Diceros bicornis minor: one gene and its partner. The protein of the gene in region 1 interacts with the protein of each later gene in a biochemical or structural test. Links are inferred from orthologs where the notes say so. Each region holds a gene or a part of one and is shown in the gene's direction. Other genes may lie near its edges.

Region 1 (15,670 bases):
ATCCGCCACACTGTCAACAAGATCACCTTCTCCGAGCAGTGCTACTACATCTTCGGCGACCTCTGTGGCAGTACGTGCCTCCCCTACCTCCCGCCCTATCTCCTGGCTGGGAGTGGGGAGGCGCCCAGGGATGTGGTAGACTCCAGGGAACCCAGATGAGGGGACAGCAGAGCTGGGGGCCCAGCTCAAGTCCTGAGAGTTCTGTAGTGGAAGCAGAGCCCAGTCCAGCCTCTTCACCTGCCCCACATTCCCCTCTTGGGGCTGGCATTTTCTAAATGCCCGCTTTGTGCCTGGCACCATGCTAGTTATTTCTGAAGCAATGTCTCACTCTCTCACTTAGTCCTTACAACCTCCTCCCCACCCTCAGGGAGACCAATTAACATCCTTGTTTTCAGATGAGGAAACTGAGACTTGTAGAAGTTAAACAGTTCACCCCTGGTCTCACAGCTAAAAGCAGAGGAGCTAGGCCTTGGGTCCAGGTCTTTCTGGCTCCAGAGGCCTTGTTCTTCACACCATCTGGGGCTGCCCTAGGTGTGTGGTGCTGCAGAAACATTGTCTCAGCAAGGCCAAACAGAGTTCCTACTCTTGGCCCCTGCTCAGCCTTCCAGCACCAAGCAGGTTCCACTAGGGCAGGACCAGGGGCTGGCCTGAGGCCCCAAGTCCACAGCTTCCTCAGACCCCTGAGAGTGGGCTGTGCCACAGGATAAAGTTGGAGAAGCTGTCGGGGCCAGGTGGTAGAGGACTCTGCAAGCTGAACTGAGGAGTTTGGACTTGATCCTGAGACAGTGCAAAGCCAATGAGGGTTATTAAGCAGGAGAGGTCTGCAGAGAACCATCCTTCTCCTTCTGAGCCTCTGGACAAGCCTTGGGAATGGGAGTCCTCAAGACAGGACAGCATTGCTCAGGGCTGGGAGCTGAAGCCCACGCCCAGCAGCCACCTCTGCCTGAGGGAGCCTTCTCTGGGCCCAGTGGTGCTGGCTGGAGTCCAAAAGCTAACTCTTAACATGCTTCAGATTAGGTTCTAGGGACTAGAAAGGCTGTTTCTGCAGAGCACAAGTCCCTGGTGGAGAGTGGGTCCCTGGCCCTCAGCAGCTCCAGTGTGGCCCCATGGAGTAGTGATAGATGCATAGGGTTTTGGAGTTAGACAGTCGGAGTTCAAATCCTAGCTCCACCCTTACCGTGTGAACATGAGTAAGTGACACAGCTTCTCACTGCCTCAGTTTCTTCGTCTGCAAGATGGAGTTAATAATAGAACTTATCTCATAGAGCTATTTTGTGAACAATATAAGACAATGTATATAATGCTTTTAGCATCATGTTTTGCCCATAGTAAGTGCTCTATAAAAGTTGTCTATTATACATATATTTAATTGGTTCTAAGATGAACATGTTTTTCACAGTTCAATATCTCTGAAACTGGGGTGCATCTTAGAATCAATGACTTCTCAGACTCAATCAAATGTAGTTATTATCATTATTAGAAGTCAGCCCTGGCCCCAAACCTCCAGGGACACATAAAGCTTCTCAGGGCAGCTGTGGCTTTTGCTCAAGAGACATTGTTCCTTCCCTAAGGCCTCTAGGGTCTTGTACCCATGGACCAAGGCCACCAGAGGCCCAGCTCAGGGAGATGCTGACAGAACAGGCCTTTTCCTTCTCACTGGCTGAGGTCTCCTCAGCTGGGAGTACAGCAGGCTTAAAGGGAAAAGCTGGGGACCTGGCTAGCCCCAGGAGCACACAGTCACTCCTCTCGGGATCACAGCCTGGAGGCTGAAGTAGTCACCAGCTCTTTGGGCATAAGCCAAGGCAAGCCCCTGCTTCCCATCCCCTCTCCCCCCGTGCTAGCTGCTGGCCTTGACAGGTTGATGGCTTGGCTGGCAAACTCCACAGGCTGCCTTAGCCCCCTCAGAGCCCCCTCTCCTGACCTCTTTTCCCCTGGAAGGTTGGGCTGGGTCACTTAAGGGCTTGGAAGAAAGGGCTCAGTCTGTATCCAGCAGCTGTCCCCTAGGGCAATTACAGGTCTCCCAGAGCTCTGGGACCTGGCACAGATGGGGTGTGAGCAAGGGGTGTCCCAGGCAGGTAGTCAGTTCTAGTGGTCCTTTATACTCCGTTCCAGGTAGTTCCAGCATTGGTGGGGGCAGCCTTGCCCTTGCACAGTTTACTGAGGGAGCCAGAGTCATGAAAGAAGTAATGTTAACACAGTGAGACAAGTGCTGTGAAGAACCAGGCCTGGCTGGGAATGGGTGCAGAGCACAGAGGAGGCACCTAAGTTGCTCTCTTTCTTGGCCCTTCCCACCCTCCCCAGCAGCACCAGAAAATGGATCCAGGCCAAGGGCCTTCTATATGGGGAGGCTCTGAAAGGCCTGATGTTCATTCTGGTTTTTAATGGGTAGTTTTTCAGTCCTAGGTGAAGGGGGAGGGCAAAATTTCACCTAAATTTCCCCAAACTGCTCCCTACTCCTTACTAATGACCTCACCTGGAAAGGTAAGGAGAAAGTAAGTGACGCTCAGCTTCTGCTCTGGCGACAGTTTGGCTTGATCCCAGGCTGGTCATTTAACCTCTCTGGACTGCACTTTCCTCATCTGGAAAAAATGTGACTAATACCTTCTTCATAGGCTTGTGGTAACATTTGCATGAGATGAAGTGCTTTGTATTGTGCCTAATGAATTGCAGGTATGCCATACCTGGTGGCTGGCTGGCATTTCAGCCTTGCACATTCCCCTACTTCTTACCCTCTAAGTGAACAGTGGAGAAAACTGCCAAATAAAAGAGTTTTGCCCCTTCTTCCAGTTCACTGAAGAAGGAGGAGAAACTGCCAAAGGCTTGGTAGGGGGTCTGGCAGTTGGATACAGGACTGGCAGTTGGATGCCAGGATCTGGCACTGAGGAGCTGCAGTGTAACTCAGGGCCTTCCTGAGGAGAGTTTTCCCTGGGGCCATCTCTGCAGGGTTTCCCTCCCCACCATCTCTGGTGGGGGGCAGAGAGGGCTGAAGGAGTGCGAGATCTCTGGCCTGTGCCTCCTCCCATTCTGGCGAGAAACTACCGCAGCTGTTGGTGTCATCCCAAAGGCCCCCACCCAACCTAGGCTGGCGACCTCTCTCTCCTGAACTAGGGGTGCAGGGGCACGAGATAGACCCAGCTCATCCGGCCCTCCCCTAATCCCCCTCCCCCCCACAGACATGGCCAACCTGTCCCTCCATGATCACGACGGCTCCAGCGGTGCCTCTGACCAGGACACGCTGGCCCCTTTGCCTCACCCGGGGGCCGCCCCTTGGCCCATGGCTTTCCCTTACCAGTACCCGCCGCCCCCGCACCCCTACAACCCGCACCCTGGCTTCCCGGAGCTGGGGTACAGCTATGGCGGGGGCAGCGCCAGCAGCCAGCACAGTGAAGGTAAGGGGAGGGGCCCCTGGGGGGTGCTCCAGGCGAGCCCCGGGCTTCCTCCGCAAGCTCTCAGCGTCCCCCATCCCGTCCCTGCCTGTCCCCTACAGGCAGCCGGAGCAGCGGCTCCAACCGCAGTGGCAGTGACCGGCGGAAGGAGAAGGACCCGAAGACTGGGGACTCGAAGTCGGGCGGCAGCGGCAGCGAGTCGGACCACACGACGCGCAGCAGCCTGCGGGGGCCGCGGGAGCGGGCGCCCAGCGAGCGCTCGGGCCCCGCCGCCAGCGAGCACAGCCACCGCAGCCACCACTCGCTGGCCAGCAGCCTGCGCAGCCACCACACGCACCCGAGCTACGGCCCCCCTGGCGTGCCCCCTCTCTACGGGCCCCCCATGCTGATGATGCCCCCACCGCCTGCAGCCATGGGGCCCCCCGGAGCCCCTCCGGGCCGCGACCTGGCCTCCGTGCCCCCCGAACTGACCGCCAGCAGACAGTCCTTCCGCATGGCCATGGGAAACCCCAGTGAGTTCTTTGTGGATGTGATGTGAGCAGGGCCCCTCCCCCACTCCCAGCCCACCCCCGCCCTGGCCCGCTGCGTCCCTCTCTCCGTCCGTCCGACTTTTTTACTTGTCTGGTACCTGGAAGGGAAATAAACGGAACTAAATCCAGGCGCGCTAACTGCTCGCTGGGCGCAGCGAGGGCGGGGTGCACCCACCGATCGCCACCGCAGCCCCTAACCTGCCCCCTGCCCCAGCTTGTCCCTCTGCCCACTAACCGCTGCGCGGGACTTCCCAGGGTCCTTCGTGTCCCTGGGAGCCGACTTGCTGGTGCTGCTCCTTACTTCCCTCTCCCCCGCACACACTTCAGGAGTCAACCCAGCGGTGCCCTTGAGGCCCTGCTCACCCCCTTGTCCCCTCCTTCTCCCCCTCAGTTCCCTTCCACCACTCATTCAGCGACATCCTCCCTCTATTAATCCCATCCCCTCGAGCATGTGTGCCAATCTCCTGACTTTTCCACACAATACTGACACCAAAAAAATACTTGCTTCATCTGCCTCTCCTCCTAAGTGTCCCCACCTGCTGCCTCAGTCCTGCAGCCCAGGGCTGGAGTCACCTCCAGTGACTATCCATGCTATCCCTGCCTGCGCTCAGCCCTTACCAAAAGCCCAGGAGGCCCCTCAAGTTGCCTGAGCTGCTAGTGGCTTCCAGAGAGCATCTCTACTCTCCCCTCCCCCCGACCCTGCCGCGCCCCTATGCCTGCCCTGTGTGCTGGTTCCTTCAGACCCCTAACCCTACTAACCAGCAGGCTCATCTCACCTCTGGGCCTGAAACATTTCTTTTCTTTCTTTTTTCCTCTCCTTATTTTTCCTGGGCCTGGAGCAGCCAAGAATTTCGGGCTGTTTGACTTTCTGTGACCCCCCGCGAGGGGAGGCCCTGCCTCCGAGGAGACCAGGACCCCTGCTTCAGGAGCTCCTCAGGGGATATCGGAGGATATTCAGCCCCCACACCCACACTTCAACATGCTGAGTCACTAGGCTTCTGTGAAGGTCCCCACACTCTCTTGCCCATGTATGGGAGACTCTGTTCCCCTTTCCAGAATATGATCTCTCTCTCTTTCTGTCTTTCACACACGTGCAAGCGTGCATGTACACACACACACACACACACACACACACACACACGTGCCTATGCAAGTTTGCTTAAGCCTCAGGGCTGGTCCCTGCCCAGAGGGCTGGACTCTCTCTCCCTGTCCTCTCCCAGGTCGTGGGGCTGGTCCCCTGACATCCCTCTCCCTTCCTTGTAGCCCTCAAGCCTCCCACATGTCTCCATCATCCTCCTACCTGGATAAAGCCCTTAAGCCAGGTCTCAGGCCAGGCTCAGCAGGGGACTCTCCGGCACCCCACACCCTTCCCTATTTTCACAATCACCATGATACCCCAGAGCAATGGTGGGCAAGGGGACTTCTGGAACTTCCAGACAGAATGCCAAATTTTATTATTTACCTTATTCTCCAATTTAAACAGAACATGACTTTCTCTTTAAGCCTCTTCTATAAATTCACCTGGCTCACCTAGGCTCTCATATTTTCAGGACTGGCTGTCAAGAGTGAGATGAAGTCCTAAACTCCAGGCTTTGGGGCAAACCAGGGTAGGGCATTTTGGCATTCATTCATTTATCAAATACTTCCTGGGGTTTCTGTTGAGTGAGGGCTGTGTTGGAAGTCTGACTCAGTCTTGCCTGCCTTCTGGAAGCTCTGGGTTTGCTGCCGGCCTGGATCATGGCCTCCTCTAGACACTACTAGGGCTGCCTCCTGTACTTCTCTTCCTTCTCTGACTCTACGTTGTCCAACTCTCTTGAGAATTCCTCCACTGTTGCTCATGCCTTCAGTGTCGGTGCTCCCAGTGTTCTATCTTCAGTCCACTTCTCTTTCCTCTCTATTTACTCCCCAAATGGTATCATCCATCCTCAACTGCCACTGATATGCTGGTGATTCCCAAATATATTATCTCCAGCCTCAACTTCCCTCCAATCTTTAGATCTGTATTATTATCACCCACTGGACAATCCAGGGACATGTCTACATGGATTCAACTCATTTCCCCACCAAGTGTGTTCCTCCTGAATTCCAATCCTGGGTACCTTCACCACACTACATAGGCTCACCAGCTAGAAACATTTATGGGCTTAAACTCCTTCCCATATCTTACTAGTCAGCGTATCATATCCATTCCACTCTAACAATCTTTCTTGAATTTGGCCCTTCTTTTCTCCTCTGCCTCTACTCTAGTTCACAGGAGCATGGGATTTGGAGTCAGGTGGTTCTGGGTTTGAATCCCAGCTCTACTACGTTTCGGTTGTGTGATAGGAGAGTTATTTATCTCTCTGAGCCTCAATTCCCTCATATGTAAAATGACGATAATAATACCTACCTCACAGGGTTGTTGTGAGGATTTAAATTAGATATTGTACGAAAAGTGCCTAGCACAGTGCCTGGCACACAGTAGAATAGGTGCTCAATAAATGGTAGCTATTATTATTATTATCATTATTATCACCATTATTTACTCTAAATTAGTAAGGGCTTAGGGTATGTATTGAAGATAAAGGGAGGAGTGAAGCCCTGAATGCTGGTTCAAGGATTAGAAGTGCCTGTATTTGGTCACTTAATGGCTTCCCACTGTGAACATGGTTTGAAGGAGACCAGATCTTCATCCTGCCACATCCTGGTTCCTGGTGGGAGGATGCTAGGTACAATATGGCTTGAAACCCATTTTGCTATTTCTTGCCCTTCCTTTCATGTCAGCTCAGCCCTGCCTAAGGAAGGCAGCAGGCTATATCTCCCTACAGAAAGAGAAGAGCCCACAAATTTTCTTCAGGTCCTGCAACAGCCACACAAGCCTTTCACGTTCAAGAGTTGGCTGTCTCCTCAGCTTGATTGTGGAGATTAACTCTGTTCATCAGAGTGGGGATTTCAAATCCCATGTCCAGTTAAATTTAACTTGCCAAAAGTTTTCTAAGCAACATATATGCCTGTCACTAGAAGGCACACAGGTCCTGGCCTTGAAGAGCTCACAGTCACGCAGGTATAGCTGAGGTGGAACACTGGGCATATTCTTGAAAAGCTTTAGCTAGTTTCTTCCAAGTACTTGCCTCCTTACTCCCTGCCTCTTAGCTTGGGTCTTGACCCCTGGGAAAAGGCTCATGTCTGGAACAAATAAGTGATGAAAAAAGCTTGGGAGAATCACAGGTGGTGTTAGACAGCAGTAAATTCAGCACAAACACTTCTACTGCCAAGTCTTGTGTTTGTGTGTCATGTGAGGACAGCTAGTCCTTGGACTCTGAAGACAGAAAAGTCCCCACAGCAATCAAAAGCTTAACAGTTGGGGGCTGGTAGGTGGTGTAGTGGTTAAGTTCATGCGCTCTGCTTGGGCAGCCCAGGGTTTGAGGGTTCAGATCTGGGTGTGGATCTACACACTGCTCATCAAGCCATACTGTGGCAGCTTGCCAGGTACAAAATAGAGAGGATTGGCACAGATGTTAGCTCAGGGACAATCCTCCTCAAGCAAAAAGAGGAAGATTGGCAACAGGTGTTAGCTCAAGGCCAATCTTCCTCACCAAAAAAAGAATGCTTAACAGTTTTGTTTCAACAAAGGCCACTAATCCTCTGAGACTCTCCGAAATACTAAAACAGGAAGAGGAGGGACGCCACACACTACAATTCCCAGACTGCTCAGAGGGGAAAATGAAGTGAGCGGACCAGCTACGCTGTGATGTGTATTTGGGGTAAGGCTAGATAAAGCCACTCCTACTCACTCCCAGGGCACTCCTACCCACCCCCCGAAGGTTCTCGAAGCCCGTCGGTAGTTGTAGTTCTGCTAAACCTAGAGAGCTTAAAATTGTAAGCGAGGAGGCCGAGGAGCCTGACGGGATTTGTAGTCTGCGCGGGAGGCAGATGCGCACGCGCAGCCGAGGCCGGGGCGGGGCCGCGGCACTGCGGTGAAAGCCGAGGCAGCGGGCAGGCGAGCAGGGGGCGGGCGGACATCTTGGGATCCAGAGAGTGGCCGGGCGGGCCGAGCAGAGGGCCGCGGACGCCAGGTGAGCTGGGGATCTGGCCTTACGGGGTGAAGGAGGACGCCTGCCCCGCTGCTCTGCATTGCGCTGCGCGGAAAGCTGCCCACACCCGGGAGTGGGCTCAGCCTTCAGATCCGGAGGGAGCTGACGGCGGGGCGGGAGCGCCCAGGGCGCGGTTGCAGCACGGGCGGGGAGCGGCGCCCTCCACCTGACCCGCCCTGCGCCTCCCGAGAGAGGGAGACCTACTGGAATCCTCCCAGAGCAGGGACGTCGCGCGGCGTTCCCCTCCCTGGGATCGTGACAGCCCCCTACCCCTCTGCGCCGCCTCCTCTCAGCGCAAGGACAATTCCCCCACTTCAGGACAGTGACACCCCCTTGTGCCGCCTCTTTGGACTCTGACAAGCCTCCACCCTGCGGCACCCCCTCCTCCCAGTAGAGTGACACCCCGTGGCTCTTCTTTCTCAGGCCTGCGACAGCCCCCGCACCCCGTGGAACCATCTTTTTCGGCGATATTTCCTCCCCAGGGTGAAAAGGCCGCCCACTTATGCCTCTACACCTGAACCCCAAAACAGGTTCCGTCTCCCCAGCTTTCCACCACTGTCAATCTCTCCCTGCCGTGTTTCCTCTTCAAGGCCTTGACCTTTGCCATACTGGAAGCTTTCTCCAGGTGCCCCCGCCAGCCTGTCGCTGCTTTGGGCTCACCTGAGCATAGGGCTTGGCTATTGCTGCCAGTCTTTTCCCTTAACTGAATATTCCATTCCAGTCCTGGGGCCCATCTCTGCTTCTCTTGTGCCCTGAGCTCCCCACCACTTGATACCTGTGAACTTGGTTCTTTCCCCCCGGCTCAACCTCCATTTTGCATTTCCTCTCCCAGCCTCTTTGCGACTGAGGGATGGGATGTGTCCACCACCTTGGGAGACCCCTCACTGCGCCTGGGAGACCTTGACGGCCACAGTAATAGACTTTATTTTCCAGTTTAGAAAAGTCTGCCAAACTCCCCGCCTGCGAACTTAATACCAGAGCTAATCCAAGAAATCTAGAACTAAATTAAAATTAACCCTTTTTCTCCTTGTAAACAATCTAAATGAGTTTGACCCAGATAATTTGCATAATTGAGGCATTCTGCCCCTTGCTTATAGGCTCTCAGGCCAGAAGTGAGTTATGTTGTGGGTCTGGAATCACAGAATTTCAGCTGGAAGGATCTCTTAATTTTAAGGACTTGCATTTCCCCCCACCCCCGACCCTCCTTATTTTTATTGTACTTGGGAGCTGAAAGGGAACCTCCCTTTTTGAAAGGGGAGTAGTCAAAAATAACTAATAAGTAGCTTGGGTCATTGAAGTGTAGTGGGCCAGGGCTGAGGCCTTTCTCCTCTGCTCTTTTGCCTGCTTATCTGATTGTCTGGGAGAGGTTGGAGCCACAGTCCTGGGTCCATGTCAGGGCCTAAGGCCTCCCTTCTCTCCTCCTCTCCCCACGCTCCACACCCTTTCCTGGAATGTTTAGGCTTCTGTGAATTAGGCTGGAGGTTCAGGCCCTGCCGCCTTTTCAGAAGGGTAGTGGAGCCTGAGAGACTGGGTGTTCCTAAAGCTGTGCCTGGGGGCCCCAGGCCTGAACCAGTTGGAGTAATTTCTACCGCCATTCCTGCAGCCGCAGGCAGGCCTTCGCAGTGACTCACTGGCTAGAGCCTGGGTGAGAGTCTGCACAGGAAAAGGAGAAAAGGATCCCTACTGAGTTCAGCTCTGCTCTGTGGAGAGGGGGAGGGGGCTACTCTCTGGGTTCAGCCCAGAAAAGGGAGGGTCAAAATGGCCTTAGAGTCCTGGGCTCCAGTCCCTCTCCCTTTCTTTCTCCCTTCCAGGATGGGATAAACAGGAACTGGAGCCTGGCTAAGGGGAGGGGCCTGCCTGGGAGGGCTGCAGGGTCACTTGCTGAAAGGTTGAGTCAGGAAAAAAGCCCAGCCACTGACCTGCACAGCCCCACAGGGGACGTTGGCAAGGCTTCTGAGGCCTTCCTTTACCCTGCCCCCGCCTGTCTTAGGTCTGTTCTCAGAGCGATGGGCTGCGGAGACTGAGCTGCCGCCATGATTGGAGGCTTATTCATCTATAATCACAAGGGGGAGGTGCTCATCTCCCGGGTCTACCGAGATGACATCGGGTGAGTCCCCTGGCTGAGCCAGCTGTGCCCCCACCCTCCTCAGCCCTCCTCCCCAGCATGTAGGACCAGGTCCCTACCAGAGGCTTGACTTGGACCACCCCTACGCCTTGCTGCATCCTGGAAGCTCAGCTAGTACAGTCTGGTTCCCATTAGGTCCGGTGGTGTTGGCTTGGCAGCCAGTTGCTGGCCGCTAGGTGGGACCTGTGGAAATGGCATGGCCCTCATAGTCTTAGGGACTCCTGTCCTTCCTGTCTTCTGTTTCCCTTAGTGATAGACCTGCTTGCTGGAGATGAATGCTTTTGCTTGGGCAGGTTGATACCTCCTTTGAGGAGGAGGGAGATCAGTCTCCAGTGGGTGGAGTTAGTGGCCAGGCTGGAGGTACTAATCCATCTAAGTCTTCTCATGGTGAGAGCCTTCACTGTATTCTCTTGAAAGCCTCTCCAGGCTGCCGAATCCTCTCCCACTCCCTTTCTCAGAAGGAGGCAGGCTGCTGACTCAGTTGTTTTCAGTTCCTCTGGGCTACTCCTGGAGGAGAGGTTGTGAGCAAGCCTGAGGCATTCTGCAGGTCACTGAGGGAAGGGCAGGGAGGCCATGCTACCCTTTCTGGCCTGTCAGAGTAGACCCAGAATAGTTCCTTGTTCTGGATCCCTCAGATCTTAACAAGGAGGCACAGCCTTACTTTGCCTTCTGCCCTACCCTGCATTCCACTGTTCTTACTGACTGAAAGGACATGGCCTAGCCTCAGCAGCTCTAATGAGATTAGGCTCTTCTGGTTCATGCCGCCCTGTTTTTCTTCCTCAAAGAGCCTAGGATAGTCATAGAATGGGCCTGCTGCAGTGCCCTAGCTCCTTGGCTCGCGGCTCCCTGGCTAATGGGCTGGCTTGGCCTTTGTGGCTGTTCGTCCATTGGCTGGGGGGAGGGGGGGGCCCCTGAGCTAGACCTGTGGCCATGCCTGGCTTGCCTGAACCTGGCTGGGTAGACCCCTCTGCACCCCCTCCTTCCCTGGATAGACCTGGTTAAGCCGAGGCCAGGGCACATACTGTCTTGCGTGTCTTGCTGTGCTCTCCACCCCTCGCCTGTCCTTCGTCTGTTTCCCCCTCGTGGTGTCTGCTGCCCCCCCCTCTCCCCTAGTGTGTTGTGTGTCTAACCCTCTCTCTCGTTGCTGTCACTCTCCTCTTCTTGCTGGCGTCATTTCTCTCATCCCATCTCATTGGCTGCCGTAGCAATAGGTAAGCGGCCTGTCAAGCTGCCGCCCAGGCACAGGTGGGTGGGGGGCCCTGCCCCCCCATCGTTATTTTCTTCATCCTTTTTCATTCCCTGAACTTGCCCTGGAATTGGATCCTCAGCAAGACTGGGGGACCCCGCTCCACGGCCCCTTGGTGCTTCTCCGTCAGTAGATTAGAGCCTTCTCTGAAGTCATGCTGGCTTTGTCCAGCTTCTGGAGGAGCCAGCCCTCCCCACTGGTGGGATCACTAGTGGGAAGATGGGAGAAGAAGCAGGGTCTCTTTCTTATCTGGGCCTGGAGCTTACTGAGAAGCTAGAGAGGTGGCAGCTGAGAAATTGGGGCCAGGCCCGGGAATCAGGAACATACCCGCCTAAACTGATGGACCTCACTTTATTAAGGTTACATCTGTCTTCCTGTCACTGCCACTTGACTTCCCTGTCTCTCATGGTCTTCAGACACCAGCCCAGCTCTGGCCCTCCTCCCATATCCCCACTGGGAGTCACAAGGGAACCACCCAGTGGTTTAGGCATTGGCTTTATAGTACGAGTCAGACTTGAGCACTGAAGGGTGGGGCTGTCAGCAGCTGTGGTCGATCCCTGCGGAATGAGGTCTGCCTGGGTGCTGAGCATCCCCTGTGCGCCCTTTTCCCTCAGGAGGAATGCAGTGGACGCCTTTCGGGTCAATGTTATCCACGCCCGGCAGCAGGTGCGCAGCCCCGTCACCAACATCGCTCGCACCAGTTTCTTCCATGTTAAGCGGTCCAACATCTGGCTGGCAGCTGTCACCAAGCAAAATGTCAATGCTGCCATGGTCTTCGAATTCCTCTATAAGATGTGTGATGTAATGGCCGCCTACTTTGGCAAGATCAGCGAGGAGAACATCAAGAACAATTTTGTGCTCATATATGAGCTGCTGGATGGTGAGGCTGCTGGTTGGTGAGGCTGGTGGGGCAGTGGGCCTAGGTGGGGATGAACCTGAAGAGGCCTGGCCTGGAGGTGGGAGCAGGCCTGAGGCTCTAGTGCCTTCTGAACTTTTCCCTGACTATCTGGTCTTTTGAGCTGGGAGAAGGCTAGTCCAAATCCAGACCTTAAGGCTGTTCTGAAGTGGCACACAGAAATGGGCTAGCGATTGGAGGCAGGGGAAGACCAAAAGATCTTTCTAGCGGCTAGGAACTTGATGCTGGGGTTTGGTGGCTAGGCCTCTTGCAGTTAAGCACGTTTCCTCCTCTTATGTGGTTTGGGCCTTATTTCACTGACTGACCTTTCCAGCTTCCAACAGCTGCCTCAGAGCCTGGAGGAGGGTGAGGTGTAGGCCCTGGGTGTGCACTGTTATCTTGGTTCCCCTGTGAGGTATGATTTAAGTGAACAGTCCTTACACTTTTCCAACATCTCTGTTTTCTAAAGACTCAGGGCTTCCTGACCTCTCACCCACTGGCCATGTGACTCATCTGCTGATTTTCTCGGAAAAAATCTGACATTTTAATTGTTTTCTCATGAAGCACAAATCGCTGAGTAAATGCTACAAAGCTGGAAGACTTTGCTGCAGATGATCGCACACTCTTCTGGAGCTGTGCTGGCCGGACATGTCCAGGCCAGGGGAGGGATTGGAGTGAAGGAGCCTTCAGCTTTTTCCAGGTGCTGATGGTTTCCTTCTTTCTGCAGAGATCCTGGACTTCGGCTACCCACAGAACTCAGAGACAGGCGCACTGAAAACCTTCATCACCCAGCAGGGTATCAAGAGCCAGGTACTTGAACTGTACAATCACAGTCAGGGTGAAGCCCAACCTCCCTTCATCCCAGCTGGCCCCCAAGCCTTGTCCTAGCTGACTCATGAGCCTGCCTCTGACAGGAAGTGCTGGCCTGAGCCTTCTGCCATGACTGCAGGCCTATTTTTCTCTGTGTGGCCCTCTCCCACTCCAGGAGCAGACTCAGCACCTCTGTTACTGGGAATGCAGCTCAAGCAGTTTCCTTCTGCACTGGGGGAAGGAGGGGTGGCTGCTCTAGTGGCCTGGTGTTCCTCAGGAGGAGAGCGCTTGGGCCCTCCTCTAGGATCCAGGACTCATAGCTTCTCCTCCTTCTTTTCTGCCTGCCTCTTCCCGTCTGTGCTCCCCTACTGCTTCCTGTGGGTACCACATTGGCCCTGTGGCCTCCAGCATCAGGTAAGCTGTTCCCTCAGCTTCCACCCTCGCAGCTTTGCTCCGTTTTCTCCAGGCCCTGCCCCATGGGGCTTGTGGGGGAAGACGGGTTACAGGTGGGGACTAGAAGGGAGTGGGGGATGAGAGTGGAGTGGAGAGGAGGGAGGCCATTGCTGTTTGTGTCTATCCCCCATGTAGACAAAAGAAGAACAGTCACAGATCACCAGCCAGGTGACTGGGCAGATTGGCTGGCGGCGGGAGGGCATCAAGTATCGCCGGAATGAGCTCTTCCTGGATGTGCTGGAGAGTGTGAACCTCCTCATGTCCCCGCAGGGTGAGGGCCCTCTTGTGATGAAGCTGGAGGGAGACTGGGGCAGGAGCCTGGTCCTGACTCAGGTGTTCCTGTTTATCTGTCTATCACCAGGGCAGGTGCTGAGCGCCCACGTGTCGGGCCGTGTGGTGATGAAGAGCTACCTGAGTGGCATGCCCGAGTGCAAGTTTGGGATGAATGACAAGATTGTCATTGAGAAGCAGGGCAAAGGCACAGCTGATGAAACAAGCAAGAGGTGCCTGAGGCAGGGGAGCTGGTGCAAGAGGGTGGACCTTGGAGGGCTGAGAGGGGCCTGGTGAATCACAAGTTCCTTCTGGATGTCATTTCTGCAGTAATGCAAACTCCTTCTTCCCAGGGGTGTGCTTGGCTGGTTGCTCTTGACATCTGTGCTTAAGAGAGATGAGGGGATTGTCCTCATCCTACTCAAGGAGTAAGCTGCTTCGTTTGGTCCCCAGACCAAGGCTCTTTTGTACATACTGATGGCCTCTGCCCAGTGTGCCTGAAACCTCTGGGTACCAAGCAGCAGAGCTCTCAAGAGATGATGAGCTTGCAAAGCTCCCCCTCATCCCTAACTCTGGGACAGTGACCCCTGAGTCAGAAAGCTGCATTCCAGCAGCATCCCATAGTCTATAGTGAATGCCTCACCCAAGCTCTGGCAGCCTTTGGGGATGGGATAGCCTCCCAGCCTGACTTTCTCCTGCCACTCTCCTATACCAACGAGGAGACCTTCTGCCCCTGCTTGCAGTGGGAAGCAATCAATTGCCATCGATGACTGCACCTTCCACCAGTGTGTGCGACTCAGCAAGTTTGACTCCGAACGCAGCATCAGCTTCATCCCACCAGATGGAGAGTTTGAGCTCATGAGGTGCCACTGGGATGTGAGGAGGCAGGGGGTGCTGCTGGCAGAGCCAGGGGAGAGGGAGGAGGACAGGCTCTACTATGCCAACCTTGCTCCCCCCTCAAAGGTATCGCACCACCAAGGACATCATTCTTCCTTTCCGGGTGATCCCGCTAGTGCGGGAAGTGGGACGCACCAAGCTGGAGGTCAAGGTGGTCATCAAGTCCAACTTCAAGCCCTCACTACTGGCTCAGAAGATTGAGGTGAGGACAAGGGACTTGGGGAGGAGGAAGCATTTGTCTCCAGAAATAAAGGCAGCTGGTGTCAGGGCTTGACAGAGCTCCCTGACAGGTGTGTCACTTCTAGGTGAGGATCCCGACCCCACTGAACACAAGTGGGGTACAGGTGATCTGCATGAAGGGGAAGGCCAAGTACAAGGCCAGCGAGAACGCCATCGTGTGGAAGTGAGTCTTTCCTTCATGAGATCCCAGCAGGGCTCAGGATGTCTTGGTGTACCCTCTTAAGTTTTACCTTTTGTCCTCTGAGAGTGTGTGTGTGTATGTCTGTGTGTGTGTGTTGCGGGAGGGTGCCTGTCTGCTTCTCCAGGAACCTCTGCTTGTGCTGTTACCTCTTATACCTCTGTGTGAGTGTGCACATGCCCACACTTGGGTGCACGCATGCATTTATTCATCAAGATGCTTTCATGCTTCCCCATTTGCCCTTGTGACATCTGCGTGAAGTAGACAGAGAGCAGGGAGGGCATGCCCATGTATCTAAGCAGAAACCGCAGCCCACACTGCTAAAGGAATAGCAGACCTAAGGTTCCAAAGCAAGTGGTTATCAGGGTCCTCACCACGTTTCCTTGTCCTAGCACCACCCACCAGCTCCTGGGTTCTCTTCCCCCTCCCCACCCTTGAAACTCCTCCAAGCTACCAGGGGCACTTGCTGCTCATTGTCCCTGTGTTCCCAGGATCAAGCGCATGGCAGGCATGAAGGAATCGCAGATCAGCGCGGAGATTGAGCTTCTGCCCACCAACGACAAGAAG
Region 2 (15,314 bases), on another chromosome or scaffold:
CTAGCTGCATCCCAGGACTTCGTTAGGGACAGTCGGGCCTCAGAGCTTAGTGAGTGATGAATGCGCCTTTGCCTTCTCCACAGGGCCTCTTAGAGCCACCAGTTCTGGGGCAAACAGTCCTTACCGAGTGGCTGATGTTCCCTCTGAAAGTTGATAAGCTTGTAAAGTGGTGGTTTCCGCTCCAGCTGCTGAAAAAGTCACGTCCTCAAAATCCCTCTGGCCCCACCTTCTACTCCACAACGTTTCCAATTTTAGGCTCAAGTGGGGACACATTTCTCTACCTACCTGGATGGACCAAGGTATTGCTCACGATGCTGGTTGGGGTGGGGAGTGGGGTGGGAAGAGAGGAAAATCATGGAAGGCAGGGAGCAGAAATTATTCCTCATTAGAAACCCCAAAGGGGATGATTCTCCCCCCTTAAGAGCTGACCCTTTATTTTCCTCTCTCTTCCCTCCTTCCCAGGGCCAAGTCTGGATCAATGGGTTTAACTTAGGCCGCTACTGGACAAAGCGGGGGCCACAACAGACCCTTTATGTGCCAAGACCCCTGCTGTACCCTAGGGGAGCCCTCAACAAAATCACGTTGCTGGAGCTAGAAAATGCGCCTCCCCAGCCCCAAATCCAGTTCCTGGATAGGCCCATCCTCAACAGCACCTTGCATAGGACATACATCTATTCCCTCACAGCTGATGTACAAAGTACCCCTGAGCCAATGGAGTTAAGTGGGCACTGAAAGAAAGGTAACCCTTGGACCTGAGACATGGAGGGGGCAGGATGCCTTGGTGCTGGCCACAGTGACCACATGGAACCACAGGCCACAGGCCTGAATGTAAGTTCAAGGGCAGTTTCCATGCCAAACTTTATTGTGATTAAAGTTCCAGAGATGGTCCCACCTCCACACACCTCTGTGGCCCTGTCTTTGCCCTGGTTCCCGAATCCCCCTCACCCTAATCTTCCAAATACTCTCCGGTTTCGAGGGAAGGAAGAAACCTAGGGCTAGTGTGAAGGTGCCCTCGCAGGGCCTAGAGCTGGCCCCAGTCGGAGCTGTAAGAGATCAGGAAGAGGGCTTCCCAGCCTGACGGCGGTGATGCTGGAGGCAGCGTGTGGAGCAGAAAGAGAAGTCGAGGTAGTGAAAGGGAATGAGGCCTTGGAGGGATGTCCCACAACTCCAGCAGCGTCTGAACGAGAGGAAGAAAATGGCTGGACTGGTACCCCAGAAACTTCCCAATGCAGCTCTCCCCATCCCTCCTCCTGCCATTTGTTTTGCCTCCAAAGGTTTGCAGAACATCTCAAATCCCCTCAACAGCCTTTCAGAGTCCTGTGCAGACACTCATTCCACTCACCCCAAATGGTCCCCACAGCATCACAGTCTGCCCGCTCCCACCTGCCCCCTCCACGTACCGAACATTGACGACGGCAGGGTCGGGGAGCTGAGGGGCAGGGGCTCCCGACTGGGCAGCGAGGCGGCGCTCTGCAGCCAGAGCTCTCTGAGGGGAACAGGAGCTGCGTTCAGGTCAAGGCCCCAGTGGTGGAGAGCATCCCTAAGAAGTGACGGCTGCACACTAGGAAGGGACCGGACCTCTAAGGAAGTCTCGCCGTGGAGAGAGAACCTGCAGCCTCACCTTCTCGCGGTCGCTGAGGGCGGCAAAGCGCCGCTGCTCTTCTTGCTCCCGCATCTCCTGCTCCCGCTGCCTCCGCTGCTGTTCTTCCCGCTGCCGCCGGGCTGCCTTCTGCGCCCTTTTCCGCAGAGCCTGCCGCGCCTCCATGTCTGGTGTCAGTGGCCCTGGCACCTGGAGGATTCCCGGGAAAGTATGAGGTAAGGCCTATGCAAACTATGCTTGGTAAAACTGTAAGAAAGGAGGAAAGATCTAGCCAGGATCTATGGTGGTGCCTTCCCACTCTGCTTCTTCCTTTTCCAGCTGACCTGAGCCTTGTTGTAATCATAAGCATCTGGATTCTTCTCCATGAACCTTCGGAACTCATTGCGTGTTGATCTGTCAGCTGCAACTGTATACGGTGGCCGGGCCCGGGAGTCCCTGGGTGCGAAAACCCAAAAAAATGGGTTCAGCTTGCCTCCTGCATCTCCCAACATCACCCACCCAGACCAAGGGGCATACTGTCGAGTAGCCAGTGCCAACGTTAGCCTCCAGATCACCCTCCCTACCTGAAAAGGGACCAGCAGGTGGACCCCTACTTACAGCACAGTGGGGTCGGCACCTGCCTCCAGCAGCAGGCGAACCACTGAGCCTCTCCCAGCTGCAGCTGCTGCGTGCAGGAGGGTGAAGCCACTGGAGCCCAAGGGGGCGCTGAGCAGAGACAGAACTCCAGGGTCTACGGGGCTGGCTGCTAGCTGGAGCTTCAGCATCCCAACGTCTCCAGCTCGGCAAGCAGCTAGAAGTACATCCCAGAGCTCTGGCTGACCAGGGGCCTTGGCCTCATCTGGGGCAGGCCCCAAAGGGGCTGCAGGTGCCTGGGCCGACTGTGAGAAGGCCTCATCTTCTTGAGCTTGCTGGAGAAGAGTCATATGTGCCCCAGCCTCCAGGTCTCGGCTTTTCTCCCTCTTGTTCCTTTTTCTCCTCCTCTGCTTGGGCAATACCTCAAACTCACGAAGATCCAGGGTCCCAAGTGTCAACTCAACTAGCTCCAACTGTACCTGGAAGCTGTCCTCTTCCTCTGACTCTGAACCTAGGGAAAAAATTGACGTGTTAGATCCATCTAAAGAATAAGCAGAGGGTGGAAGGGTGTGGGCTGCCCCAGATGTATAAGAATGTACATGAAGAGATAATCCAGCATCTTGAAATAATATTGTTTGTATTCTGTCACCTGAGATAAAGGAGCACATCAAGGGCTGAAGCCATTGGTATCACATGCAGAAATGGGGCTCGCGGCCCAGGCCCAGAAGGAGCTCTACAGGGACAGGAGTCTCTGGGCATTCCCCGTGAGCAGCCTCGGGATGGTGCATAGCAGAGGAAAGCCTGGGGGCAGTGGCAGCCGTGCAAGCCAAGAGCATGCAGCCAGGGAAGCAGCCCTTAGCCCAAAAGCAGAGCATCCAATAAGACAGGTAAATTATGTGAGATTCACCCAACACATATCCAAGCATCTACTACATGCTAAGACTTTTCTACGTGCTGGGGATACGTCAACGAACAAGAGATAATAGGAGATTTGGAAAGGTCACTGAACGTGTCTCAGTAATTGCTACCATATGCCCCATGTTATTAACAGACCTGTGTGTGTGTAAGGGCTCATCTATAAATAGGGAAGTGGGTCAGTTATGAGAGTAGGGGATTTGCCTCTTGCATTTCCAGGACAGACCCAGATAGAAATATGGCAATTCCCAGATGGTGCTCAAACCCTGTTTGGGAGCGTCCTCGTTCTGCCCAGCTGCCTCATTTTCATCGCTGGGGACCCTTCTTTCTTCCTCAACAGCCTTCTTCCTCTCTCTCATTGTCTTCCAGTGTGTCTGAGCTAAGTCCAACCTGACTGTCTCCCGGGGGTCTTCTCCTGCCATAAAACAAAAGATGTTTCTCAAGTTTAGCTGAGGAGAAGCCAGCCCAGGTTTCTCTCAGTGAAGATGCCATCACGCTGCAGTCCTAGAAAATTATCTGGATGCACAAATGAGAACCTGAAGATTGGGCTGGAAGGTCTAGGGAGTCTAGGGATCTGGATAAAAGGCTTACCATAAATATGCAGGGTAGTCAGCTTATGGAGCACACGCTGTAGCTCTCGGAAGGTGGGTCTGCGGGTAGCGAGGGGGATATCCCAAAGTCGGGGATCCCCCCGTTCCAGGGGTGCCCCGTGGCCTCCGAAGAACAAGGACCGGCCAGAGCGAGGGGCACGCAGCAGTATTGTCCCAGCCTCCCCCAGTGCCTTAGCCCAGTCTGGCCCTGCCAGCAGGTCACGAACATCCTGGAGAAGACAGTAACTCAGCCCTGCATGGCTTCACTTGCTGTTAAATCTCCAACCAAAAAATGGCCCACAAATCATATGAAGAGGTAGATGACACAGAGAGAGGAAGAATGAGAGGACTAAGACTGCTGAGGATCCATCCCTATTCTGTCTTTGTCTCCCCAGAAATAATGAAGGCTGGAAGGATACAGGAGTCAACCTCCCTACTGTAACATTTAATGAGTTGAGAAAGAAAAAAGTATGGATTAGAGGACCACCAGATGTGGGACACCCAACTCACCTTATACAGTGTGGCTTCATTGTAGCGCCTCAGGTTGGCTCCAGCAGAGCGAGAAGCCCCACCCCGGGCATCCCGAAGCCCCTGGGCTGTGCCCCGCTTGGCCCGCACTGTGTAGCGGTGAAAGGTTTTGTGTGTCACCACTTCTCTTCTGTAGACAGCACAGACTCAGTACTGGAAACCAGCTGGTACTCCCAGGCTAACAGGATCCATTCCATCCTCACCCCATGCAGCACCCTCTCACCCTTGGAAAATGGCACCAGCAAAGTGCCCAGCTGCAGCCATGAGCACCACGCAGGATCTGGGACCTCCACTTGGCAGGTTCTGTAGCAGCAGTTCTGGTTCTTCTGGGGGCACCTGGACGACAGAGGAGCAGCACAAACATCCTATCTGTTGCATCCACTGAGAGCAAGAAACCAAGTGCCACTGCTAACAGCTTCACACGCATTCCTTCATTTAATACAACCACCCCAAGGCTCATCAAGATCAAGTGATATAATCACAATTCAAACCTAGATTGGTCTGTTTCCAAACTTGATTCCATTAAACTTGATCATTCCAGGATTCAGGCCAGTTCAATCCAAAACTATGCTGTCAAGTGTGATACCCACACCCAACAGGAAGGAAGGGAAGAAGTGAAAAATGGACTAGGCTATGGGGAAATCTAGAATGACTGTATAAAAGGCTGGAGTTCACTGCACAACCTGTGCTGACACTTGCCTGGCGAGGACCTAGGACACAGCGATAGGCATAAAGAAACTGGCCCTGCGCATTTTGGAAAAGAACCCGATGTGGGTGGAAGCCTCGGGGTCTGTTAGGCTTCTCCAAGTCAGGCCTCTCCTCATCCAGTATCTGCAAGTCCTCCTCATTGGCTGAGTCTGAGTCTTCTGATCCTGAGATGCTGGAAAGATCTCCTGAGAACAACATGAGATACACGAGTTTGGTGCCCTATCTCTGACCTCTCCTCAAGCTCCTCCACTAGGGCCTTCCTCCACCCCATGTCCTACCCCCACACGGCTCTCCCACCAGACCTCACCTGTGGAGCTCTGCTTTTCAAAGTCCACGGCAGACAGGAGAGGCTTGTCCTTGAGACGCTGCTTTAGGTTAAACCGATGCCAATCAAGCTTATAATGTTCCCTCTAGCAGGAGGAGAGGGAGGCAGAATGTGGAAATATGCCCAGCCTGGCGTTTTATGATACCCAAGACCAGGTAACACCAACTGCCTTAGTCAAAACATGGACCTCTATTAATTAAAGACAAATGTCTGTCTTCACCCACCATTATACTTTTGCTTCTACCATTTAACTCTGCACCTGGCCCTTTACCTGTTCCTGGTGGTTCTGGAAGGTCTGGTCACAGGTTGAACAAAGTAACTTCTCTGAAATATCTGGAGGACCCTGGAGTGATTTTCTTTCTGGGCTTGCTCTCTCCCCTGAACCTAAATAAGGGGAGGGTAATTAGAGGTAGAAAGGGAGCCCAGGGGCCGGCCCCACGGCTTAGCGGTTAAGTGCGCGCGCTCTGCTACTGGCGGCCCGGGTTAGGATCCCGGGCACACACCAATGCACTGCTTGTCCAGCCATGCTGAGGCAGCATCCCACATACATCAACTAGAAGGATGTGCAAGTATGACATACAACTATCTACTGGGGTTTTGGGGAGAAAAAGGGAAAAAAAAAAAAGGAGGAGGATTGGCAATAGATGTTAGCTCAGGGCCGGTCTTCCTCAGCAAAAAGAGGAGGATTAGCATGGATGTTAGCTGAGGGCTGATCTTCCTCACTAAATGAATGAATGAATGAATAAACAAACAAATAAATAAGAAAGGGAGCCCAAATCCACAGTACCAGAATTACACACAAAGCAGAGGAGGATACAACAGAACGAGATGGCATGTCCTTGCCTTCAAGGAATTTATAACCTAGTAATTGCGAAGAAAATGGCGCAGCAATCACTTGGTACAATAAATATGCTTCTGAAAAGATGTATGTAAAATGAATATAAATCAAACATTGTATTTAAATTAACCAAAGGGATTGTTTAGAGGAATCCTGTAGAAAATAATTTTTGGTAAGGTTAAAATTATTTTTAACTGTGCAAAAACCACTTCTGAAATACCAGTTTTTTAGCTTACATTTCCAATTACAGTGTGCAGTTTGGTTTTAAAAAGTATAAGAAAAACAGCTGGAAACAAACCAAAGTTGTACAAAACCAATAAAAAGTCTTATATTTAGCAAGAAGGAATGATTTGATTGGAATCCAGTTAAATTTAGACTTATATCTAGGAATTTTGAAAATATATCTAGGAATTTTCAAGTATTTCTGCAGGCAGTGGTGTAACGTGATGAGACATAAGCAATGGCAAGAGATCTGTTAAGACAATTCAGGGGCCTGTGCTGGAAACAACCCAGAGATTGAGTGAATTTAAGATAAATTTTATTAAACGGAAAAAGATGTCAATAAGGGCTCCTCAGCTGTGGAATACCAACAAGAATGTGTTCCCTAGAAGAGCAATACGCTCCAAAGAGCCCTGTCACGGTCCTCATGGGTGCACACCACGCCTTCCCGGGTACCTGGACAGGAAGTCTGCAGAGCCTGGGCCAGAGCCTCCCCGGGAGCGTGGCTCACTAGGCGGAGGCCCTGAAGGACCGGAGCATCCACGCTGAGGTCAAACAGGGAGACCGACGCAGGAGCCTGGGCTGCAGCTGGAGCCGGCGACATGGCTGAGCAGAAATTACTGAGAAGCAGCTCCTGGAGCGGAAAGGGGGTAGGAAACAGAGCTCCCCAAAGCGAGATCCTACTGCCGCGACTCCCGCATGCGTGACTTGGTCTCCCCCACGCCGCAAGACACCCTGGCCCTCACCCTGGTACCAGGAGTCAGTTCTGGGGTTAATCCGTGACCCCAGCCCGCTTTCTCCCAAGTCCCGTCTCGGGCCACACAAGAGTGAAATGGGGGCGCATCCACCTTCCTAACTGAGGCCCATAGAGTTAAAATTACTGAAGTTTCCTAGCCGACCGCGATGAGCTCCAGCAATGACTATACCGCGTGGACTCGCCCCCGCCCTCGGAAGCTGCATCAAACGTCCCCGGGAACCGAGCGGCACGTACGTCCACTGTTCGAAGCCAGGATTTCGGCAACACAACAATCTCGTCACTACGGAGTAGCGAAGAGGACAAAACGACTGCGCCGGCACCTGAGCCCCGCCCCACGTAGCGCGAGCTATTGGTCCTCCGACTGTCCAAGACCCGCCTCGAGCCCTTGGTCCCGCCCCCGAAGCCGATAATTGGCCGTCGTGTCTCCACCCCCCATGCTCATTGGTCAGGCTGGCTGCGGGTGACAGTGAGTGGCAGACGCCGGGCCTAGCGCTCGGGTCTGGCCGAGCCCAGCGGAGCCGACGGAAGCCCTGGAATCACCCGGGTCACCGTTCTTGAGGGGAGACGCGAGACCGGTTACTGGAATCCCAGGGTCCGGGCCTGGCCTGGCCAGGGGTGTCGGCGGAGCCCTAAGTGAGCTCGCAGCGGGTAACGGGGGAAGGGGCGCCGCGGGCGGGGCGGAGGCGCGCCGCCGGAATGTTTTGATAGCGGGGGCGCGCGGCCGGGGGTGCGCGGGGGCGGCGGGGGCGCGCGCGAGGTTGTCCGCTGTTGGGAGCCGAGCCCTCGGCCTAGGGCCGGCTACCCGGGGGCGCCCTGGGCTCGGGTCGTGGCGGCTGGGTGTCGGGAGGCAACCAAGCCCCCCTGGGGTATCGGCTGTCGGGCTGGCTCGGTTCCTCCAACATCCGCAGGAACCTCTGAGCCCACGCTGGGTCTCCCTGGGCCCTGGGTCCACACTGTCCCGGTGACGGGTGAGTTCCCTGAGGGCTTGGTCAGCTCCTTTGGACCCAGGGCTCTCACCCACCAGGGAATCCCACCGGGCCAGGCTGGGCCGTGCTCCACAGTCCCAGGGTCTACACTGACTGGGTGAGTGCCACCTAGACCCCTGGCTCCGGGGACCTAGGGAACCCACAGTTCACCCAGGATCTGGGTCTACACTGACCCAGTCGTGATTTCCCATCCAGGAGATATGCCTGCCTGCTGGGCCTTTGGTGCTAGGGAAGCAGGGGAAGGGGTTGATGAGAAAGGTCCCCTTGAGAAAAGACTCTCTTCTTGGGTTTTGGGTTTGGGGTTTTATGGACCTTGAGAGGCCTGTCTAATTTCTGAGGCTGAGGTTGGGTAATAAAGAAACAGTCCAGAGGGGCCGCCAACCTCAGGCCTCTACTGACTCAGTCTTCACAGGTTCAATAAGCCACTTCTTGGGATCCTAGAGTTGGCTGAGTGGCCCTGTATAGACAACCAGAGGAAGTGGGCATAGCCCTAGGCTGGAAGGGTGCCTCTTCCCCACTGCAGCCCCGCTGCCCCATGCTTGGCCCCTCTTAGTGGGGAGGGTGGGGGGGTGCGAGGGGGGGTTTCTTTCTGTCCCCACTCCCCACTCTCTGGGGCCTGACCTTCTCTTCCGGCAGCTGCAGAGCCAGGGCATCGAGGGCTGAAGCGGAGCAGACACTGTCCATGGAGCTGGTAGGACCATGTGCTTATCTCAAACTTTGGTTTACACAGTGCTTCCAACTGCTAGTCACTTGTGAGACCAGGGTTTCTCCAGGAGGGGAGGGGAGGGCCCCTTTTCTCCACTGAATATAAGTTGAAAGCCCCTCCACCCCCAAAGGGGAGAGTCTGGCTTTAGGCCAGCAAGGCCTCAGTAGACACTCAATAAAGGGTCTGGGAATGACTGACCTCACTGGTCAGGGAAGGCCTCCCAAACCCTGAGCTTGCTGCTTTCCTTGGGTTATTCCTCCTCCTCTGCCTTTGAGCCAAGAAGACTGGTAGTGAAGACCAAGCCCAAGGTTCCTGCTCACTCCTTCGGGCCTAGGAGGCAGGGCAGCAGACGAGTTGTACTGGGGTCTGAACCTGGGTCTCTTCTTCCTTGTCACTGGCAGGTGGACACGGTGGACAGGGGGCGGTGGTGATGGCGCAGTTTGACACTGAATACCAGCGCCTAGAGGCCTCCTACAGTGATTCGCCCCCGGGGGAGGAGGACCTGTTGGTGCACGTCCCTGAGGGGAGCAAGTGTGAGTTCTCGGACATGACAGCCAGAGCTGGGACATGGGGGGAGTTGGGGGAACACTGAGGGAGAAAGGGGCTTACGTTTCTTCAGGGCCTTGACATCTCTGCTCCTGTGCCCACAGCACCTTGGCACCACATCGAAAACCTTGACCTCTTCTTCTCTCGAATATCCTTCGTGTCTCTGTGTTGGAGATCTGGGACCTTTAGTCCCTCTCTAAGCCAGGCCCCTGATGGGAAGTTGGGGTGGGTTTGACTCTCCCTGGAAGGGGGGTGGAATCTTGAGGCTGAAAGTGGCTGGGAAAATAATGATCGTTATAAATAATGATACCTCACATATACCAAGAGCTCTGTGCTTTGTACTTCGTGGTGTTAATTTATAAAGAAGCTTTCTAAGGGTGATCCTCCTTTTTGATGGCATGCTAATAACCATAATAACTACTGTGTTTTGACTCATTCTGTGTCAGCTCTGTGTTAAATACTTTACATGCATTATTTCAGACCTAATAATCCTGTGAGGCAGGTGCTATTATTCCCAATAGACCACTGCAGACAACAGCTGAGAGAAGTTAAGTAACTTGGCCAAAGTCACCTAGCCAGAAAGTCATAAAGCCAGGACTTAAGCTCAGGGGTGTGACGCCAAAGTCTGTGCTCTTACCTGCTGTCTCTACCGACCACTTTTTCTTAACAATCACACGTTTACAATCTACACCAGAAGAATGGCTTTACTTGTATGCTCATCGGGGAGATCTTTGAGCTCATGTAAGTATAAGGGATGAATGATGTGTTGAAGGAATACATCTCTGTCTCTCCTCTCCTTGAGCTCCCGCCTGGCCCTACCTGCCAACGCAGTGGAGTCCTAGGCTCACTAGTTCAGGGACTGGGTGTGGCACGAAAATTTACAGCCCCACCTTTTATCTCTCCCTTAAAAGGAAAGCTTTCCAAGTCCTGTCTCTTCCACAAAGAGAACTCAGACTTGGTCATTTCATCAGAGCTCCAGTGGAATGGGCATGGTTCAGTCAGGAGGTCTCAGAGATGCCAGCTACTTCCTCGAGAAAAATCTCTGTTCTGCCTTGGTTACATCTCAGGCCTGCTGCTGGGCAGAGAGCCTTCTAAGAGGAAGGAGCCATATGGCCTTGCCAAAGGGGAAGGGGTTGGGGAACCCTCCCTCAGTAAGAAAAGAGTTCAAATCCCCAAAGGGCTTCTAACTCCTATCTCAAAAGGAAATCAGGGCCTGGGGACCAGAGACCACAATCACAAGACCTTTGGCAGAGTCCAGTAAGTGGTGGCAGAGCTTACTCTGAGGAGAGGAAAGGAGGCTGATGCTGTGGCACCTGAGGCTAAGAGCAAAAATAGGTGGTTTGGACCTGAAGGTCCCCTGGGGCTGAGCATTAGTGAGAGCCCACTGGGAGTTCTCCAGCCCCTCCATTTCCCAGAGGCTGCTCCCCAATCTTGACTCTTCTCTTTTCCCATCTTATTTTACTGGTGCCTCTCGGGCTCTCGGACTGTGTCCCTTTTCCCATTTCCCCAGGCAGTTCCTCTTTGTGGTTGCCTTCACCACCTTCCTGGTCAGCTGTGTGGACTACGACATCCTATTTGCCAACAAGCTGGTGAACCACAGTCTTCACCCTACCGAGCCCGTCAAGGTCACTCTGCCAGATGCCTTTTTGCCTGCCCAAGTCTGTAGTGCCAGGTAAGGGCTGCAGGTCAGAGGGCACCAGAGCCTGTAGTTCTGCTAGCAGTTAGGGAAATGGAGTGGAGGGTGAGGCAGTTACCCATTCCCTAGAGCACAGACTCAAGCTGAATCCTGCAGGATAGCAGTATGTCTGCAAGATTCCTCAAGGCCACCCCTCCTGCCCTCCTTTTTCCCCACCAGGATTCAGGAAAATGGCTCCCTTATCACCATCCTTGTCATCGCTGCTGTCTTCTGGATCCACCGGCTTATCAAGTTCATCTATAACATTTGCTGCTACTGGGAAATCCACTCCTTCTACCTGCATGCTCTGCGTATCCCCATGGTGAGACTGGGGAGTTGGGCAGTTAGCACCACAGCCCGAGACATCTTCTGCAGCCTGGGAAGGGCGGGGTGTATTCCTGGGCATCAGGCATCCTCATTGTTGTTGGTGGGTCAGGGAGCATCTGCTTAAAGGCTCCCCTCAGCTAAAGACAGGACCCCCGAGCCTCACAGCTAATGCGGGGCAAGGGGCCGAAGCACAAGCCCACCTTCCATACCTTGTCTCTTCCCCACTCCCCAGTCTGCCCTTCCGTACTGCACGTGGCAGGAAGTGCAGGCCCGAATTGTGCAGACGCAGAAAGAGCACCAGATCTGCATCCACAAGCGCGAGCTGACGGAGCTGGACATCTACCACCGCATCCTCCGTTTCCAGAACTACATGGTGGCACTGGTGAACAAGTCCCTCCTGCCTCTACGCTTCCGCCTGCCCGGCCTCGGGGAGGCCGTCTTCTTCACCCGTGGCCTCAAGTACAACTTCGAGCTGATCCTCTTCTGGGGACCTGGCTCTCTCTTTCTCAATGAATGGAGCCTCAAGGCTGAGTACAAACGGGGGGGGCAACGGCTAGAGCTGGCCCAGCGCCTCAGCAACCGCATCCTGTGGATTGGCATCGCCAACTTCCTGCTGTGCCCCCTCATCCTCATCTGGCAGATCCTCTACGCCTTCTTCAGCTACGCTGAGGTGCTGAAGCGGGAGCCAGGGGCCCTGGGAGCACGCTGCTGGTCACTCTACGGCCGCTGCTACCTCCGCCACTTCAACGAGCTGGAGCATGAGCTGCAGTCCCGCCTCAGCCGCGGCTACAAACCCGCCTCCAAGTACATGAATTGCTTCCTGTCACCTCTGCTGACACTGCTGGCCAAGAATGGCGCCTTCTTCGCTGGCTCCATCCTGGCCGTGCTGATTGCCCTCACCATCTATGACGAAGATGTGTTGGCTGTGGAACACGTCCTCACCACCGTCACGCTCCTGGGGGTCACTGTGACCGTGTGCAGGTGGGCCGGGGCAGCAGGTGGGAGCAAGCAGATCAGCGTTCCTGGTAAAGGCTTACATCTCACCATGACCCTGATCCCACCAGGTCCTTTATCCCGGACCAGCACATGGTGTTCTGCCCTGAGCAGCTGCTCCGCGTGATCCTCGCTCACATCCACTACATGCCTGACCACTGGCAGGGTAATGCCCACCGCTCGCAGACCCGGGACGAGTTTGCCCAGCTCTTCCAGTACAAGGCAGTGAGTGGAGTTGGAGTTAGGGCCTGCTAGAGACTGGCTGACAGCTCGGTGCTAAGGGCTGGGTCCCTCCTGCTCTCTTGTGACCTTGGTCCCCTCTCTTTTAGGTGTTCATCTTGGAGGAGTTACTGAGCCCCATTGTCACACCCCTTATCCTCATCTTCTGTCTGCGCCCACGGGCCCTGGAGATTATAGACTTCTTCCGCAATTTCACTGTGGAGGTCGTTGGTGTTGGAGATACCTGCTCCTTTGCTCAGATGGATGTTCGCCAGCATGGGCATCCCCAGGTACTGGGAGAAGAGGGGGCAGGTGGCCAGAGGCAATGCTGGCACAGACAGTATCTTTGGGCAGATTGCAAAAAGGCACCCCTTTTGAGCCAGCAAGTCACAAAAAGGCAGCCGTGCCTCCGGGCAGCCTTGTACCAAGGTACACACGGCATAGTAAACAGGAGCCTAGGCTGAATTTTAGCCCAAAGCTTGCACCCTTGGCCAGGCTCGCTTGAGAAAGGCACAAACCAAGCAACTAGCCCACCATGTGGCCACTCCAGGGGTGGGTACCGGGGCCCCTGGACAAGACACAACAGTGCATTGCGGTCTCTGTCCTCCAGGGGCAAGGCCTCCCCCCAGCAGGAGAGGTACAGAAAGGGTTCCTGTGAGAGGACAGTCCTGCTCACGGCAGCCTGCCTTCTGCAGTGGCTGTCCGGTGGGCAGACGGAGGCCTCAGTGTACCAGCAAGCCGAGGATGGGAAGACAGAGTTGTCACTCATGCACTTTGCCATCACCAACCCTGGCTGGCAGCCACCACGCGAGAGCACAGCCTTCCTAGGCTTCCTCAAGGAGCAGGTTCAGCGGGATGGAGCAGCTGCTGGCCTTGCCCAAGGGGGTCTGCTCCCTGAAAATGCCCTCTTTACATCCATCCAGTCCTTACAGTCTGAGTCTGAGGTGTGTTCCTGGGGACTGGGAGATGATGGGCAGAGTGGACTCCAGGAGCTGGCAGTTGAGGACCGGGCATGGGGTGGAAGGGCCTACCCTGCCCGTTTCCTTCTGTCTGTTCACTTTGTGCCATTGGGTCCTGACGTGCAGAACAGTGGGGGGGACCCAGAGGCCTCCCTCCTGCCCTGAGAATTCTACCCACCCCTTTCTTTCATAGCCACTGAGCCTTATTGCAAATGTGGTAGCCGGCTCCTCCTGCCGGGGCCCCCCACTGCCCAGAGACCTGCAGGGCTCCAGGCACAGGGCTGAAGTCGCCTCTGCCTTGTGCTCCTTCTCCCCTCTGCAATCTGGTCAGGTGCCCACTGGCCGGGCTCCCAGCACCATGACAGGCTCTGGGTGAGTAGAGGGGGGCTAAGGTGGGAGGGCACAGAAGAAGCCCCCAGCAGTTTGTGTGGGTCTCAGAAATGATGAGCACTGTCTGTCTGTGCTGGGAGGACAGGGTGGATGCCAGGACAGCCAGCTCCGGGAGCAGTGTGTGGGAAGGACAGCTGCAGAGCCTCGTGCTGTCAGAATACGCATCCACCGAGATGAGCCTGCACGCCCTCTATATGCACCAGGTGAGTGGGCAGGAAGGGGCAGGGCCAGAGAACTGAGGTGGCAGCTGAAAGTAGAATAGAGGGTTGCAGATGTGGAGAAGCAAGACATGGGGTCCCATCCCTTCTCTGCCATTTACCTGCTCTGCGGTCTCCATTCCCACCTGGATCCTCCTACAGTCCATTTTAGCCAACTTACTCTCATCCAGGGCCTTTACACACTTGTGACTTGTGGTCTCCCCTACCAAGAATCCACCTCTTTGAGAAATCCGTATGGCTCCCTCCTTCTCCTTATTCAGGTCTCTGCTCTAACCTTTTCCATGAGACCGTCTTTGGCCACCCTGAGTAAAAGCATTCCCTGCCCACCCTTCTGAATCCTCCTGCTCTATTTTTGTCTATAACGTTTAGCACTATCTGATATATTGTATTTTTTCCTTATTTATTTGTTTATTGTCTCCCCCCACCACCCCTGCCCCTGGGTCAGGACTGGGATTTTTGCCAGTTTTGTTTACTGCTATATTCCCAGCACCTTATAGAGTGCCTGGCACTTAGATCCGTAGCCAGTTCTCGAATCAAATGACTCGGTAAAATGAGCGCCATTATGACCCATGCACAGGCTTGTTCCAGGGACCCGCTGAGAAGCTAACCTGTAAAACATCATATGTATGTTACTAATAACCAATAGGCGCTCTGGGTCAGTGATTCTAGGTTAGGCGGTATAAATGGGAACTGGCCAATTCCATGGTGGGGGGCACCTGTTTCAGACAAATACCCTTCTGTCCCCAACTAATGAGCCTCCCACTTCTCAGCTCCACAAGCAGCAGGCCCAGGCTGAACCTGAGCGGCATGTATGGCACCGCCGGGAGAGTGATGAAAGTGGGGAGAGCGCCCCTGAAGAGGGGGGAGAGGGTGCCCGGGCCCCCCAACCTATCCCCCGCTCTGCCAGCTATCCCTGTGCTACACCCCGGCCTGGAGCACCCGAGACCACTGCCCTGCAGGGGGGCTTCCAGAGGCGCTACGGGGGCATCACAGGTATCCAGTGGGGGTACAGGAGGACACAGAGCCTTCAGGGAAGGGTGGTTCTCCCCAGGGCCTCTAGGGGAGGGAGAGGGCAGAGGGACCACGCCCAAGGAGACTAACCCCGCACCCTGAGCAACCCCAGAACCCTTGTCCTTATTCCTGTTTGTTCATTCTAAGAGTATGTTTACTTGTGTCTCTAGATCCTGGCACAGTGCCCCGGCCTCCCTCTCACTTCTCTCGGCTGCCCCTTGGAGGGTGGGC

The links.
Region 2: the proteins of AP2M1 (region 1) and ATG9A interact in a biophysical measurement, tested with the Homo sapiens proteins (4 studies listed by BioGRID and IntAct, with this or other methods). The link is inferred for Diceros bicornis minor from reciprocal best matches to the Homo sapiens genes AP2M1 and ATG9A.

What each region holds. Positions count from the first base shown.
Region 1 is NC_080754.1:39,495,382-39,511,051, reverse strand, and holds the start of AP2M1 (AP-2 complex subunit mu), read left to right. Parts: upstream 1-7,869; 5' UTR 7,870-7,971; intron 7,972-9,979; 5' UTR 9,980-10,022; coding exon 10,023-10,096; intron 10,097-11,974; coding exon 11,975-12,240; intron 12,241-12,982; coding exon 12,983-13,065; intron 13,066-13,653; coding exon 13,654-13,789; intron 13,790-13,879; coding exon 13,880-14,021; intron 14,022-14,531; coding exon 14,532-14,651; intron 14,652-14,751; coding exon 14,752-14,887; intron 14,888-14,990; coding exon 14,991-15,088; intron 15,089-15,594; coding exon 15,595-15,670. Other genes in the region: DVL3 (segment polarity protein dishevelled homolog DVL-3), read left to right, coding at 1-70, 3,174-3,389, 3,488-3,924.
Region 2 is NC_080776.1:9,525,117-9,540,430, reverse strand, and holds the start of ATG9A (autophagy-related protein 9A), read left to right. Parts: upstream 1-7,667; 5' UTR 7,668-7,701; intron 7,702-7,819; exon of another isoform or gene 7,820-8,136; intron 8,137-8,675; 5' UTR 8,676-8,730; intron 8,731-9,146; 5' UTR 9,147-9,175; coding exon 9,176-9,278; intron 9,279-9,395; coding exon 9,396-9,439; intron 9,440-9,967; coding exon 9,968-10,032; intron 10,033-10,801; coding exon 10,802-10,963; intron 10,964-11,146; coding exon 11,147-11,288; intron 11,289-11,525; coding exon 11,526-12,274; intron 12,275-12,357; coding exon 12,358-12,511; intron 12,512-12,615; coding exon 12,616-12,795; intron 12,796-13,200; coding exon 13,201-13,449; intron 13,450-13,657; coding exon 13,658-13,836; intron 13,837-13,939; coding exon 13,940-14,057; intron 14,058-14,842; coding exon 14,843-15,065; intron 15,066-15,253; coding exon 15,254-15,314. Other genes in the region: GLB1L (beta-galactosidase-1-like protein), read left to right, coding at 84-299, 463-732; tRNA endonuclease ANKZF1, read right to left, coding at 1,054-1,177, 1,401-1,486, 1,622-1,789, 1,924-2,035, 2,198-2,684, 3,354-3,503, 3,680-3,908, 4,189-4,336 and 5 more. UniProt on the Homo sapiens protein: Phospholipid scramblase involved in autophagy by mediating autophagosomal membrane expansion. Cycles between the preautophagosomal structure/phagophore assembly site (PAS) and the cytoplasmic vesicle pool and supplies membrane for the growing autophagosome.